3 linked regions of the Schizosaccharomyces pombe genome follow. The gene in region 3 interacts genetically with the main gene of each other region. Each region holds a gene or a part of one and is shown on either strand. Other genes may lie near its edges.

Region 1 (4,313 bases), on a different chromosome or scaffold from region 3:
ATGGAAGCAATCATTGCTGAGAATTTAGAAATTATGGTTGAAAGTCAGTCTCTCGAAGATGAAATCTTTAGAAAAGAAAAGCAGCTTGCTGAAACTAAAGTTAACTTGGCCGTTTTAGACGAGGACCATATGATGGCTTTACAAAAATGGAGTCAGCTTATGAACCGCATAAAGACAAAGTGAATATAAAAGCATTCTAGGTACTATTGGAATATCTGCATCCTAATGATTGCCATAATAATTTATTTATATTGAGTTACGTTTAATGTGTATTATAAAAAATCTTTGTTCCTGCAAGTTTGTCTTACTTAAAAACATACAAACGATAGTTCAAATGAATGTATATTTAATGAATCGTCTCACCTTTAATCAGTGAAGAAAGAATTCTATTGCTCTTGATCACGACCACTTCGCTTAAACTCTATATTTCTGCCTAAAGAAATCGAGTAATAAATTTTAAAAAGCATCTGAAAATAATACAAGGTTATTATCAGTTTGATGACTTTATCTTGTACAAAAAATAGGTTTACAAAGTTCTAAAAAGAAAATTTAAGAGAAAAAAAGATATCATTAAAAAGCCTAGTTCTCAAATATACTTTTTGAAATAAAAGACAACGTGATTAAAGCAACTGAATTTCACAAACATTGACAGTAAATTCAAATGCAAATGTAAAAAAAAAGACACTTTACAAGTACAAGAAATAAAGGAATCGATTAAAACACGAATATATATTGCCAAGAAAAATCCAGTCAAAAATTTCATGTTAAAACCGGGAAATGAACTTGAGATTTTTGCAAAGAATCGATCAAGTCATACACATATTTAAATTGTGTGAAGGTTTGAACCATCTTCATCCGCTGCTTTCGGATATGATCAACCAACTGGAAAACGACGTCTGAAGAATCGGCGACAGAAGGATTGAAACCAGAAAGTTTGCTTTCTGGGAAGCGTAGGATCGTATCTAGTACAATAAAGGTTCCTGTCCGACCAACACCGGCAGAGCAGTGCACAATAGTATTTCCTGATCCGTGAGAGTTGTTCACATATTTTAAGAACTCAACCATAGATTTCACGTTTTCAGGAGAATTACAATCAGACCAATTAGGATATTGATAGTGATGTACTTTTTTAACTGAAGGAAAATTGGCATTCTGAATTTCAAACTTTCGCAAAATGAATCGAGAATTATCGACATTTTCCTCCGAAATTTGTTTGACACAGTAATCTCCATACACTTGTTTATCTCCAATACCATTACTTGGCCAATATGCAGTACACATTTCGCGGCCAGCCTCGAACAATGAACCAAGCATAACAATAGTGCCTATATTCTCCACATTGTCCCATACCATGTGCCAGAAATCGCTAATAGAACGAGAAATAGAACCTTGGCAAGCGATGTAATTTGAAGTTTCAGTTTTGATAAAGGAAGCATTGATATAATCGAGCTCTGAAGGGCTAGTTCTTTTCAAATGCACACGAGTACAATTGTAAGGAACAATGTCGGTATATCTGTTTTTCTTATACGATGTATTACTCAATGAATCAACGGTACTCCACTGAGAATTACGATCCGAACAAGAAACTAGACGTTGATGCTCCAATGATTGCAGGCGCAAGAACTTCTGGTAGAGGGTCGCAACATCTGGATTGGTAAAAGCATCGGGCACACTGTGTAAGCAGGGTGTCTGGACTGTAGCACTGCCAAATGGAGAAGATTTGTTGTCCTTGTTCTCAGGTAGAGGACAGAAAAAGTTATTTAAAGACAAACCGGCAACATTAGGAGTGGGAGGAGGACGAGAGAAGTAATCGGAGCCTTCGCTGGACAAAGAGATAGGAGCAGTTTGAGCAGCAGAGTAAGACAATCTGGGGCGAGCGCTAGGCAAAGCACCTAATTTACTTTTTACAGGAGAGTTGTCAATCACAGATGGATACTTGCCCGAGACTTTCGAATAGTCTAAATCTAAAATACCGAAGTCACCAGAATAGGATTCTTTTCTAAATTTTTCACCAATTACCTCAGCGTTCGTTACGTAGTTAGCAATCCAAGCAGGAACACAAACAAGAATGGATGAAAACTCTTGCCAGTTTTGAAAATCTCTCTTGTCGTCGACGTCGTGAAGATTGCTGATGATACGCGCGACCGAAAAGGCAGGACGCTTAATTAAGGTTGCAGGTAAAGAAAGATTGACGGAGCCCTTAATTCTAGATTTGGAAAACTCGGATACGGGACGAAGGTCGATGATCAATGTGTCATCCTTCCAAGCTTCCTTGTCGAGATATTCTTGGAGGCAAGAAGCATGAACAGCATACTTACTCGTTGCTACACCCCGCTGAGGAGGTAAAGCAATACATGAACCCGAAGGAGCAATTGTAAAAGTAGACGATTTTGAACCGTTTGAAAAATTCATCGTGGTTTTTTAGATGAATGTTTTGTATTAAGAATATTTGGCCTTAAAAAAGAAGCAGAGATGATTAAAAAAAAAAGTAAAAAAGTAAAAAAAAATTCAGACTTCTTAAATAAAATACAAATATTGGATAGCACAAGTTTTGAAGGCCGAAAGCAAAATAATGAATGGATAGGAAATATCAAAATTACGGAAAATCCAGGGTTCTAAAAAGGAAAGAATTAACGCAAAATTTGGCAATAAAATTAGTAAAATATAGAAGGAAACAAGAGAAGATTCAAATCAAGTCTGAGATGAAAAAAGTTTTTCAATTCAAACTTTCTGCAGAAAATAAAGATGGAAGAGTTTTAGAGGGGATGAGGAGTATCCAATTCAAAGAATGGGTTTGAATCAGTACTATGCAAATATGAGAATAAAAAGGGGGAATCCTTAAAAATTAACGGATTAATGAATCGTCACTTCAAAGGTCAAGCGATTTTAAGAGGAAAATAAAAATACTGCTTGTGAGTGCACAGTGCAAGATTGCAAAAAGCAACACTATTTAAGAAATTATTTCGTATTTAGTAGAAAATGCAAAAAGGTAGGGCACACGCACGAAAACAGTAACCAGACTGAACAAAAATATAAGATAGAGGGTATAAGAAATATTATAAGTTGCAGTTTGTCAAAGTGCAGAAAAGTATACAAGTAGGAGATCGAGGAACGAAAAGAGGTAGAGGCTAATTGAAATGTAATGACAATGGAATAATTTTCCTACAAAACAGAAAACCCAATTTAAAAGTCAGAAGCGTATTCAAAGCTAAAGGGGGGAACCAAAAGCACGTTGATGCAACAAACTAGCAAAAACGTAAGGTCAACTAAGGATGAAAATTACAGAGCACACGTCTGTAAATAAACCAAATGAATGGTGAATACTTAGACAGATGAGTTCAGAAAAAAAGAAACAGAACTATTCAGAATGCAGAACCCCACAAAAAAAACAATAGACAAGTAACCACCAAGACCCCAAAGTGAAGTGAAAACAAACGGTAAAGCAATGAAGAAAATGGGAAAAAAATTCAAAACTTAATCCGAAAAACTCAAGGGAAAGGAATATATGAGCTCTTCAAAGGTTCAAAAAAAGCGATACTACACTGTGGAAAGAAACCCAAGAGTACACCTTTTTGAGAAAAGACAAAGAAAATGATGAAACGAGAAATAGGATAACTAGAAAAGGAGAATTCCGAAAATATGAAAATATCAACGAAAAGGAAACAAGAAAAAAAAAGAGGGAGGTATAAAAAAAATGTAAAAGGAGAAAAATCTAACCCAATTGAGAGAAAGAAGTGGTGAAACAAAAGTTGAGAAAAGTTGAAGAAATTAACTATTTTGCATCGTACGGGATAAAAAAATGAAGCAAATAGAAAAAGCACGGCGATTCAACGATATATCTGGTGCTCTTTTATGGAAGGAAAAAAGACTAGTTCTTCCTATTTATTCACTTTGAGTTAAAGTTTAGAAAAGAAAAGATGGGCGCAGGTAATGAAACAAACGACTTTTAAAAGCTACGTATAGCGGTGGAGAGACAACAGAGAGAACTGTTGACGAGATGAAGGATGGAGGAAAAAATCTAAGAAAGAGAATTAAACGCACTAAACGTCAACGAAATCAAGTCTAACGATTTTTGATTTTTACCAAACGATCAGAGCAAGGACTGAGCGACGAACCAAGGTAAAATTTTTCATACGATCCAACAAAACGACGATGAAAATAAGATCCAATCTTATACTTTACCCAACGTTTAAACAGGAAACCCAAAAGATAAAAAGGATTGGGAGCAAGTAAAGGGTTAAGAGGAGGAAGGGAGAGGACGAGCGAGCGATATGTAGAAAGAGAAGAAGAAGTAGAAATAGGTATATCTTGGA
Region 2 (3,789 bases), on a different chromosome or scaffold from region 3:
ACTAATAGTTAAAACACGATCATGAACATTAGGAACAGCCTTGGTAACGCCGGCCTTGACATTTGTAGTGCTTCTGAGTTCGGCAACGTTTTTTCCAGCTTTACCAATAATGATACCAGCTTCACGAGTAGAAAGTAAGGCTCTCAAGGTAAGTTGTTGAGTAGCATAGGTGGCATCATCCATCGGTGGCTTGGCAGAGATGGGAGGCACTTGAGACGTTGGTTCGGGTTGGTTGGTCATGGACTGTTGAATAGTAGAACCGTTAGTAAGAGTCGATAGAGGTGTAGAGGGCTTTGGAGTAGGTATGGAAACTTTAGCAATGCCAGTAGCAGTAGAAGTGGTTTCGTCGGGTTCGTCTTGAAACGTTACGTCAAAAAAAGAGTTCTCTTTTTCCTCGATGTTTTTAGGAATGCTGAAGTGATTGTAAGCCATAGATGTCACTGGAATAGTATTGGTTAATTGAATAGGACACATATGCGTTTCTAGGAGGAGAGTAGAACCTTTTCTAAATTACTTCCTGAAAACTGATTAGTTCAAACCTGCAGGGATTTAGCGGAGATTAAAAAAAAAAAGGAAAACGGATTAGGCTCCTTCTAAGCTCTTATTGCAGTTTCTTATAAATTGAAATTGCAATCAATAGCTGTGATTACTTCGACAAAAATGAAGTAAACGACCAAGGAGAACGGAGTAGTGGTAAACGGGGTGTAGCAGTGACAAAGAGAAAATTTTCTGCAAGTAAGTCTTTTGGTGGGGAAATAACGAAGTTTGAAGAACGTATAGTAAAGTCGCACAATTTACTGATAGGAAGTGGTAGCGTAGCTTTACGCCTCAGTCGTTATATCTTTGGAAGTGAAAATGATGAGATTAATAAATGAGAAGAGCATTACAAGAATGGGTTTTTTAAATAATCGTAAATTTCCTAGCTAAAGCTAACGAATGCTGCCAAGTGAAATATCATTCTTTTAGTCAATATAGCAGGTATTAACGTAGTTGTTTTCGTTGGCCTTTGCTTCGGTATATAGGATAGCGTGGTTCAAGCGACTTTGTAAGATCAGATGAAAGATAAAGGGCAAAAACCTAAATAGCGTCCATGCATCAGTGGAACTTTCTTTCTTCAGATTACGTTATATGGTATAGTGAGCTTTGAAAATCGTTGAAAAAATTCGAATTTAATGGTGCAGAGGCAAAGACGATATGGACGTTCGGAAAAATGAAAACTATACTGGAGGAAGTTATCTTTATTTGATTCTGTCTTCGTAATTAAGCTTCCTTCAGCTTCGAACTTTTCATTTCCTAATTCGAATACCTATTTGTTCACCCGTACCTCTTTAGGTTTATATTTGTTCTTGCAAACTGTTCTGCGGCGATATGAATTTTGCTACCCCAAAGTTTACGTAAGCCAAGTTTGTCGTAAATAAATTCGCAAAAAAAAGTACTTTGGATGGTGCAACATGGAAGAATTGAACGCCGTTGAAACGCTGGTATTTTTGAACATGAAGTATCTCAGTATTCAACCCAAAGTCATAAAAATTCTTGAACCTTTAGCTTTCCAAGCGCTGAATGAGCATACTGGGACACATTTTGAAACCATAGACGCAAGTAATAATTGCGTAAGTTATATAAAACTCATAGAGCCAACAAAGCTAGTAGCATTTACTTCTTAATATTATATTGAAATTCCAATAAATAATCTTTGAATATCGTTTGTATGAAATACCCGAGAGCAATTGCGGCGCTAAATTAAACTGAATGTTCAGTTACCAAGATTTATGTCACTTCATAGAAAGATATAATATCACAGTAGCGTGTACCATTCTTCTATACCTCACTGAACGAGGAAGTCTACAATTCTGCTTGGCCTAGCACAGTGTTAGCGAGGGTGAAGAATAAAATTATGATGCTAATTACCAAAACGGTGATTTCAAAAAAAGTTGAGGAACTTTCATATTTTCATTTTTTGCCTCTTATAGGACGCTATGTATTACGTTGCGTAACTTTGACTTTTGCAAATACTTGGATGTACCACTGTCTCCATGTTTGTTTGTTGGTCAATATAAAACGTAGTATTAGACATTAAAATATTGGTTTAATTATTTCATTTAGAAAACTCAATAGAAATTTAGCAAATATCGTCAACCAACCTAGATTGATCCTGTTTCACGCAATTCGGACTATATGAATCGTTTTTGATTGCTTTCTAGACTTCATAGCATTATTACTTACCCTTCTACTTTTTTAATACCTTCGAAATTGTCAAATTGACTCATTATTGCAAAAATGCTGTACAGGCTCTCCGAAAAACAGCAGACAGACTTACGGTGTAATAAATTAACTGTCGATGGATTTGAGCTGGTAAAAATGTTAAAGGAATTACGATTACATAACAGGAATATCAATTTTTTGGAATTTCTTCGAGGTGTACAGATTGTGCCGAGCGACAGTGTCTTCTTGGGCGAAATTGATGAAAACAGCCATACTCAAGACAATACAACTACTTCTATCTTAAAGGAGAAAGAGCTATATGATGGTATTCCTCTGCTTCCATCAATGGCAGGCGTATCCATGGACCCTGAGAGAGAAAAAAAATCAGAGTTACGACTAATGAAAAACCAAATCAGCGCTATAATCAATATACTCTTCACAGTAGTAGGAACGGTGACCGCTGTTTGGTACTGCACTTCATCTTTATCTATTGAAAAGGTATGAATTAAAAACTTTCGTTTTGTTCCTGGGAGACCTTTGTATTGACTTAATATTATTTAGAAAATTGCGCTATGTGCGTTTTCAGCAATCTTGGTTCTAGTAGCAGATACGTTTCTTTATGTCCGCTATCTATCTGCACAACCCGTACGAACTTCAAAGAATCATACTCGACAAATAATATATACATGGACAACAAATGACCCTGTTCTACAGTCAAATGAGCAGCTAGCTATAGAACTGGGAGCCATTCCATCTTTGAAGGAAAAAAAGAACCAATAATTATATTCTTAATTTTTAGATGTTTTATTAACGAAAGTACCTTTGATGTTTTCCTGTAGATGATTTTTATAGGTTGTTTGTCTAATTGATCATAATGGCATACCTCTCTATGTGTTAATTGAAGGGCAGGCACCTATGGGCACACTATAGATAAAAAATAAAAAGTATTTAAGATAAAAAATTCGAACTCATTTGGCTTTTAACGTATATTTCATCAATTAATTTCATTATAATTAAAGATTTAGCAACATTATTTCAATTTAATTAGCCATTTGGTATTAGATTTATTTGTAAGGAACACAACTTACAAATTTATAAATAAACAACAAATCAACCCCCCCTTGTAAAAAAATTAAAAAAAAAAAAAAAAATAGAGAGCAACCTAACCATTGAGTTACCAGTGAATTATGCAAGGCGCAACTTGACCTTAAGTTTCTTCCATATAATCAATAGTGCAAGCACAGACATAACGTTTAATATTAAGCATACCGCAAAAAAAACAACAGGTGAGAACGAGCGAAATGCACCGCCAAAGATAGCACCAACTGTGTCGGATAAGGAAATTGATATTTGCACAGCGACGTTACCTATCAGGTGGTACTTAGGATGTAAAACCTTTGTCAATAAAGAGACCGAAGGGGAATTAGCAATAGAAGATCCAAAAAAAACAAGGGTGTAAATAATAAAGTAAGGTTGTACGAATTCCTTGCCTGTATAGTGAATAGTTATATGAATAACCATGCATACGATGTTTAAACAACAACCCAACAATATGATATCTCTGTCAGTCAAGTAACGCGTCAAATA
Region 3 (4,332 bases):
GTAACATAAACAAGCAGAAACAAAAGATGGGATTTGAGAGATAGTCCTGAACAGGTTTTCGATTTTTTCATTCGGTGCAAAAGCAAGAAAATAGCAGCCAAATGGGCCATATCACCTAATGATTAGCTTTACTTTGACGAAATTCATCATACCCAGTGCACTGAAAAATGTCATGATTAATTAATAAAAGTAAGGAGTGCCTATTTCAACGCGCCAGGTATTAGGAAAAAGAATTTGGTAGTGGTGTTGACAATAGGCTTAACTGCGCAGAGATATAATTGGGGTATGCAAGTGGGGGCCAAATGTTTAATAAATGCAACAAAAAAACTGTAATTTATATTCGTACTTTAGAATGCGCTGAATCAAGATTCTCAAACGATCAAATCTTTTTATTTAAAACAAGGAGTTTAGCTTGCATGAAAATTATAGAAATGGGCTTTAAAGTGACAAACTTGATGCCATAGTACTTCAAATATTACATTATGAAGCTGGACTTGACCTACTACTAATAGGACAGCAAAATAAAAACCACTTGACCCTACTTTTGGTACTGTTTTAAAATATATACTGCATTAAAGCTGCAATGAAAATTCACTTGTATATTCGGAGTAAGTTCCTAGAAAGGTTGTATTATAAAGCCGATTAGTTTAAAGGGATTGAGAGGGAACGTAATCTTAAATAGCTAAAGTTCATAAAATAAAAAATAATAAAAAATTGCTGAACCTTTTTGAGAAAATTATGTAAAAAAGATATGATAAAATTTTCTAACCGACGTTTTAAACAAAAAGAATTATAAAAAAGTGTAGTCCCCAGTTTTAGCTCAAATCCTTGAGTTGTTTATTGAAGAATACACAAAACAATTAAGGTTTTTATTGGTTAATTTTTTTTGGGAGGAAGGAATCCAGATGACCTAGGAGCGTCGTGTGTAAAACAGTAAGTATGCCACACGATCGCCGTGACCAAGTTTACTAAGACTCGGATCAGCGGAAAGTTCGGAGTTTTCAACATCATGAATAGGTACGCGGTGAATGTGTGTATCATCAATCCGAAACCAGCCGCTTTTATCAAGTTGCTGAACATCGACAGTATAATGACCACCAGACGCAGAAGTACCGTGATGATAAACCACTGCATTCAAATCATATTCCGGATGTATGGAACCACGAACAGAAGGGCTGAAAACGTTTTGTGGAATACTCAAGCGAGCAGGATAAGCAATAGGCTTATAATTTTTCTGTGTACCGCCAGATGCTTCGTAAAAGAATCGTTTAAGGTGAAGAATCAAGACAGGAGGAAGTGACTCTATATACATTTGCTTGGTAGCAGTAACATTTCCTTTCGACGAATGCCATTCCGGTAAAATTTCAGGGGCGGTCATATGCTCCAACGCATCGATAACTGAATGTATATCTTCTGCTTGAATGTCGAGTTGCAGAGGTTGAAACGGTTCTAACAAAACAGAATCTCTTGCACTCGGAACCCTTAAGGTAGAGCGCAGCTGACCACCAAAAATTTGGCTTATAGGAGACCTTTCAACAGTAGCAGATCTAGCAATTACTGGCTTTTTATTTTTACCAACTTCGGTCCAGCCACTAGCTTCTACAGAAGATTGATCATCAAAACTATCTAAACCAGACTTGATACCATTTGAAATTTTGATATCAGATTTTGGATTTCTTTCGTCATTTTTTAATAAATAATGTCTACGTTCACGCACGAATTCTTCATGTAATTCGTCAAGAAACAAATTCAAAAACTCCTCAGCATCCTCCTGTTCGCCGGTCTGCAACATTTCAAATCGAGGATTCCCCTTAGTAGCTGAATATACCACTTCTGGCAAAATAGAATCTCCTTGTAAATCAAATTTCTCAGAATATTCTCTAAAATCCCTAGAAAGCATTGTCAACGATTCAATAAGAGGTGTTGTACGTTCAAAATTATACGGAACCATCCGGTTAATTTGCTTAAGTAAATTATAAAATGGAACACAATACATTAGTGCCTGTAAAATAGAGTTCATAAAACATATATTTCCGGTATTTATAAAACCCCGAGGCTGTATAGGACGGGGTGCATCGAGGGATGGAGAATATGTTTCGATCAATTCACCAAGGGATGAATTGAAACTTTTTTTCTCAGACCTGTCAGACGGTACCGGAACAGAATGTGATTTTTTAACAGGAGAGTCTCCTTGAACATGCTTTTTCGCAATTGCAGACCACGATTTAGGCGATTTTTCAGACTCTTTCGTCTTTGATGTGACCAGAGGCATTTGCACCGAAACCGACCAATCTAAATTCTTAGGCGAACGCCTTTTTCTAGCCTTTCGATGAGGAAATTCATGTTCAGAGCATGAGTACCATGGTAGCTAAACGTTAGTATAATCACAATTTTAATAAAACATACCAGTGAATTGATAATAAATTGATTTCGTGACGAATCACTTTCCAAAGACGCGCTGTCCGTTGCAGAGGTCAAATCTCGCATGGAAATACGCACACTCTAGCAAGATTGAACTCTTGTTTACTAATTTGATGGTTGGCTGTCGTTCGCTTTGCTCTTCAAAAGACTGTCCAAAACTTTTTTTAATATACACTATACCTCGTTAATTCTTCGTATTCCACCAAGTGTATTATGGTGATATTCCACTGTAAACACTTGACCGCCTAACTCAAATTCCTAATTATTTTTAGTTGTTCTTTTTTATTATTAATTATTGAATGTCCATGCCCATCTTTAGTTATTTTTAGAGAATACGGTATATTTACATATCTAAGTACCACTATATGTATCTTAAACCACAAAAGTGATACGAAAAGAGAAAAGTAAATAGTAAATTTTAAAATTCGATATTCTGCTGTTGTGTGAACTATATATAGGTCTTGAATATATATTGTCACTCATTTTACGCCGCAGCAAATTCAATCGTTAACCAAGTCTTAATGTGATCATAATTGAAATGATTAATTGTCAAGGAGGTGAAGTAAGATGAACGAGTAAATTAAGTGACTTTTTTAAGTAAGCTGAGCAGTAAAGTACGTAGCAAATTTTAAAAAAGATAAATATAACAATAGTCGTGAATTTTTAATAATGTTAACTATGCTGTTGCTATGCGGTATATCTTTTTGTGTTTCAGCAATGCAGTTTGAATATCTGTTTAACGATACATAGAACTGCGGCAATTTTCTCTTGCGATCTACAATATAGCGGGATGCAGTATATTTTTAACTGACAATGTTTATAGGAAGCTATTAGTATCGATCATCGATACAGCTAGGAACTGTACCTCGTTCCTCAGTTCAACTGTAGCTCTATTAATAATATTTCTATAAGTTGCTATCAACGTTGCATCTATGTAGATAGACGGATAGTTTATCCTCGTGTATCAATAAACGGATCTTAAGTATTTAAACATATGGCATATAGTGATACGCAACATAGTATGTCATAGCGTAGTGTAGTATTGCTTGAAAAAATTTAATGTTCTTTATCTTTCGTAAAAGTTTTTAACAAAACTCAGCGATGTGAATAGTGGAGGTTGGACTGAAAGAATGCCAGTGCCAAAATTTTTCCTCAGCCCAAATAAACGTTTTTGGACTTCATCACATATTTTCCATAAAAGATGGGAAGAAAACAGAAGTCTAAGCAAGGAATTCCCCCAACTTTAGAGGAAAATCATAATTCTTCTCATAAAGTGACAGAAAATGCAAAAAAGAGAAAGCATTCAAAAGAAAAACCACAAAATTCTCGGAAACGCCAATTAGCAGAAGAAAAGAAATCTTTGTTTGAAAATTCGGATTCTGAGAATGAAAAAGATCTTATTGATGCAGACGAATTTGAAGAGGCTGAAACTTTATCAGACTTGGAACATGACGAGGAACCCCAAACATTTGCTGACGAGTTTATCGATGATGAGGCTAAAGAATGTGAAGGGGAGGAAGAAGATTCTGTTTTTGATTCGGATGAAGAGCATGAGGTTAAGCCTATGTTTAGCGATGATTCTGGAGATGAAGAGGATTTGGAACTTGCGAATATGGAAGCCATGTCTCGCAAACTTGATGAGGAAGCGGAATTAGAGGAAAAAGAAGCCGAGGAAGAATTGCATACCAACATACATCCTGAGGCTCCTACTGTTCTTCCACCTATTGATGGTTTTACCGATAGCCAACCAATATCTACTCTTCCACAGGATTTGAGCCAAATTCAATTGCGGATACAGGAAATAGTCCGTGTTTTGAATGATTTTAAAAATTTGTGTGAACCTGGACGCAATCGTTCTGAATATGTTGATCAACTCTTAAATGATATATGTGCGTATTACGGTTATTCTCG

Evidence for each region. Genes that interact genetically often act in the same process or in processes that back each other up.
Region 1: of ubp3 (region 3) and pyp1, changing one enhances a phenotype caused by changing the other (phenotypic enhancement), as found in Schizosaccharomyces pombe (2 studies listed by BioGRID, with this or other methods).
Region 2: mutations in ubp3 (region 3) and vph2 together harm fitness less than expected from each alone (positive genetic interaction), as found in Schizosaccharomyces pombe (2 studies listed by BioGRID).

What each region holds. Positions count from the first base shown.
Region 1 is NC_003424.3:5,159,611-5,163,923, reverse strand, and holds pyp1 (protein tyrosine phosphatase Pyp1), read right to left. Parts: upstream 2,413-4,313; coding exon 760-2,412; 3' UTR 564-759; downstream 1-563. Other genes in the region: GTPase-activating protein Gyp51, read left to right, coding at 1-183. UniProt on the Schizosaccharomyces pombe protein: Plays a role in inhibiting the onset of mitosis. Dephosphorylates sty1/spc1 and wis1/spc2/sty2.
Region 2 is NC_003421.2:66,254-70,042, forward strand, and holds vph2 (V-ATPase assembly protein), read left to right. Parts: upstream 1-1,998; 5' UTR 1,999-2,277; coding exon 2,278-2,700; intron 2,701-2,763; coding exon 2,764-2,982; 3' UTR 2,983-3,226; downstream 3,227-3,789. Other genes in the region: RNA-binding protein Rnc1, read right to left, coding at 1-432; SPOM_SPCC757.11C (transporter), read right to left, coding at 3,388-3,789. UniProt on the Schizosaccharomyces pombe protein: Required for vacuolar ATPase assembly.
Region 3 is NC_003423.3:3,675,868-3,680,199, reverse strand, and holds ubp3 (ubiquitin hydrolase Ubp3), read right to left. Parts: upstream 2,552-4,332; 5' UTR 2,488-2,551; coding exon 2,407-2,487; intron 2,369-2,406; coding exon 911-2,368; 3' UTR 539-910; downstream 1-538. Other genes in the region: erd2 (HDEL receptor), read right to left, coding at 1-115, 153-174; RNA methyltransferase Nop2, read left to right, coding at 3,623-4,332.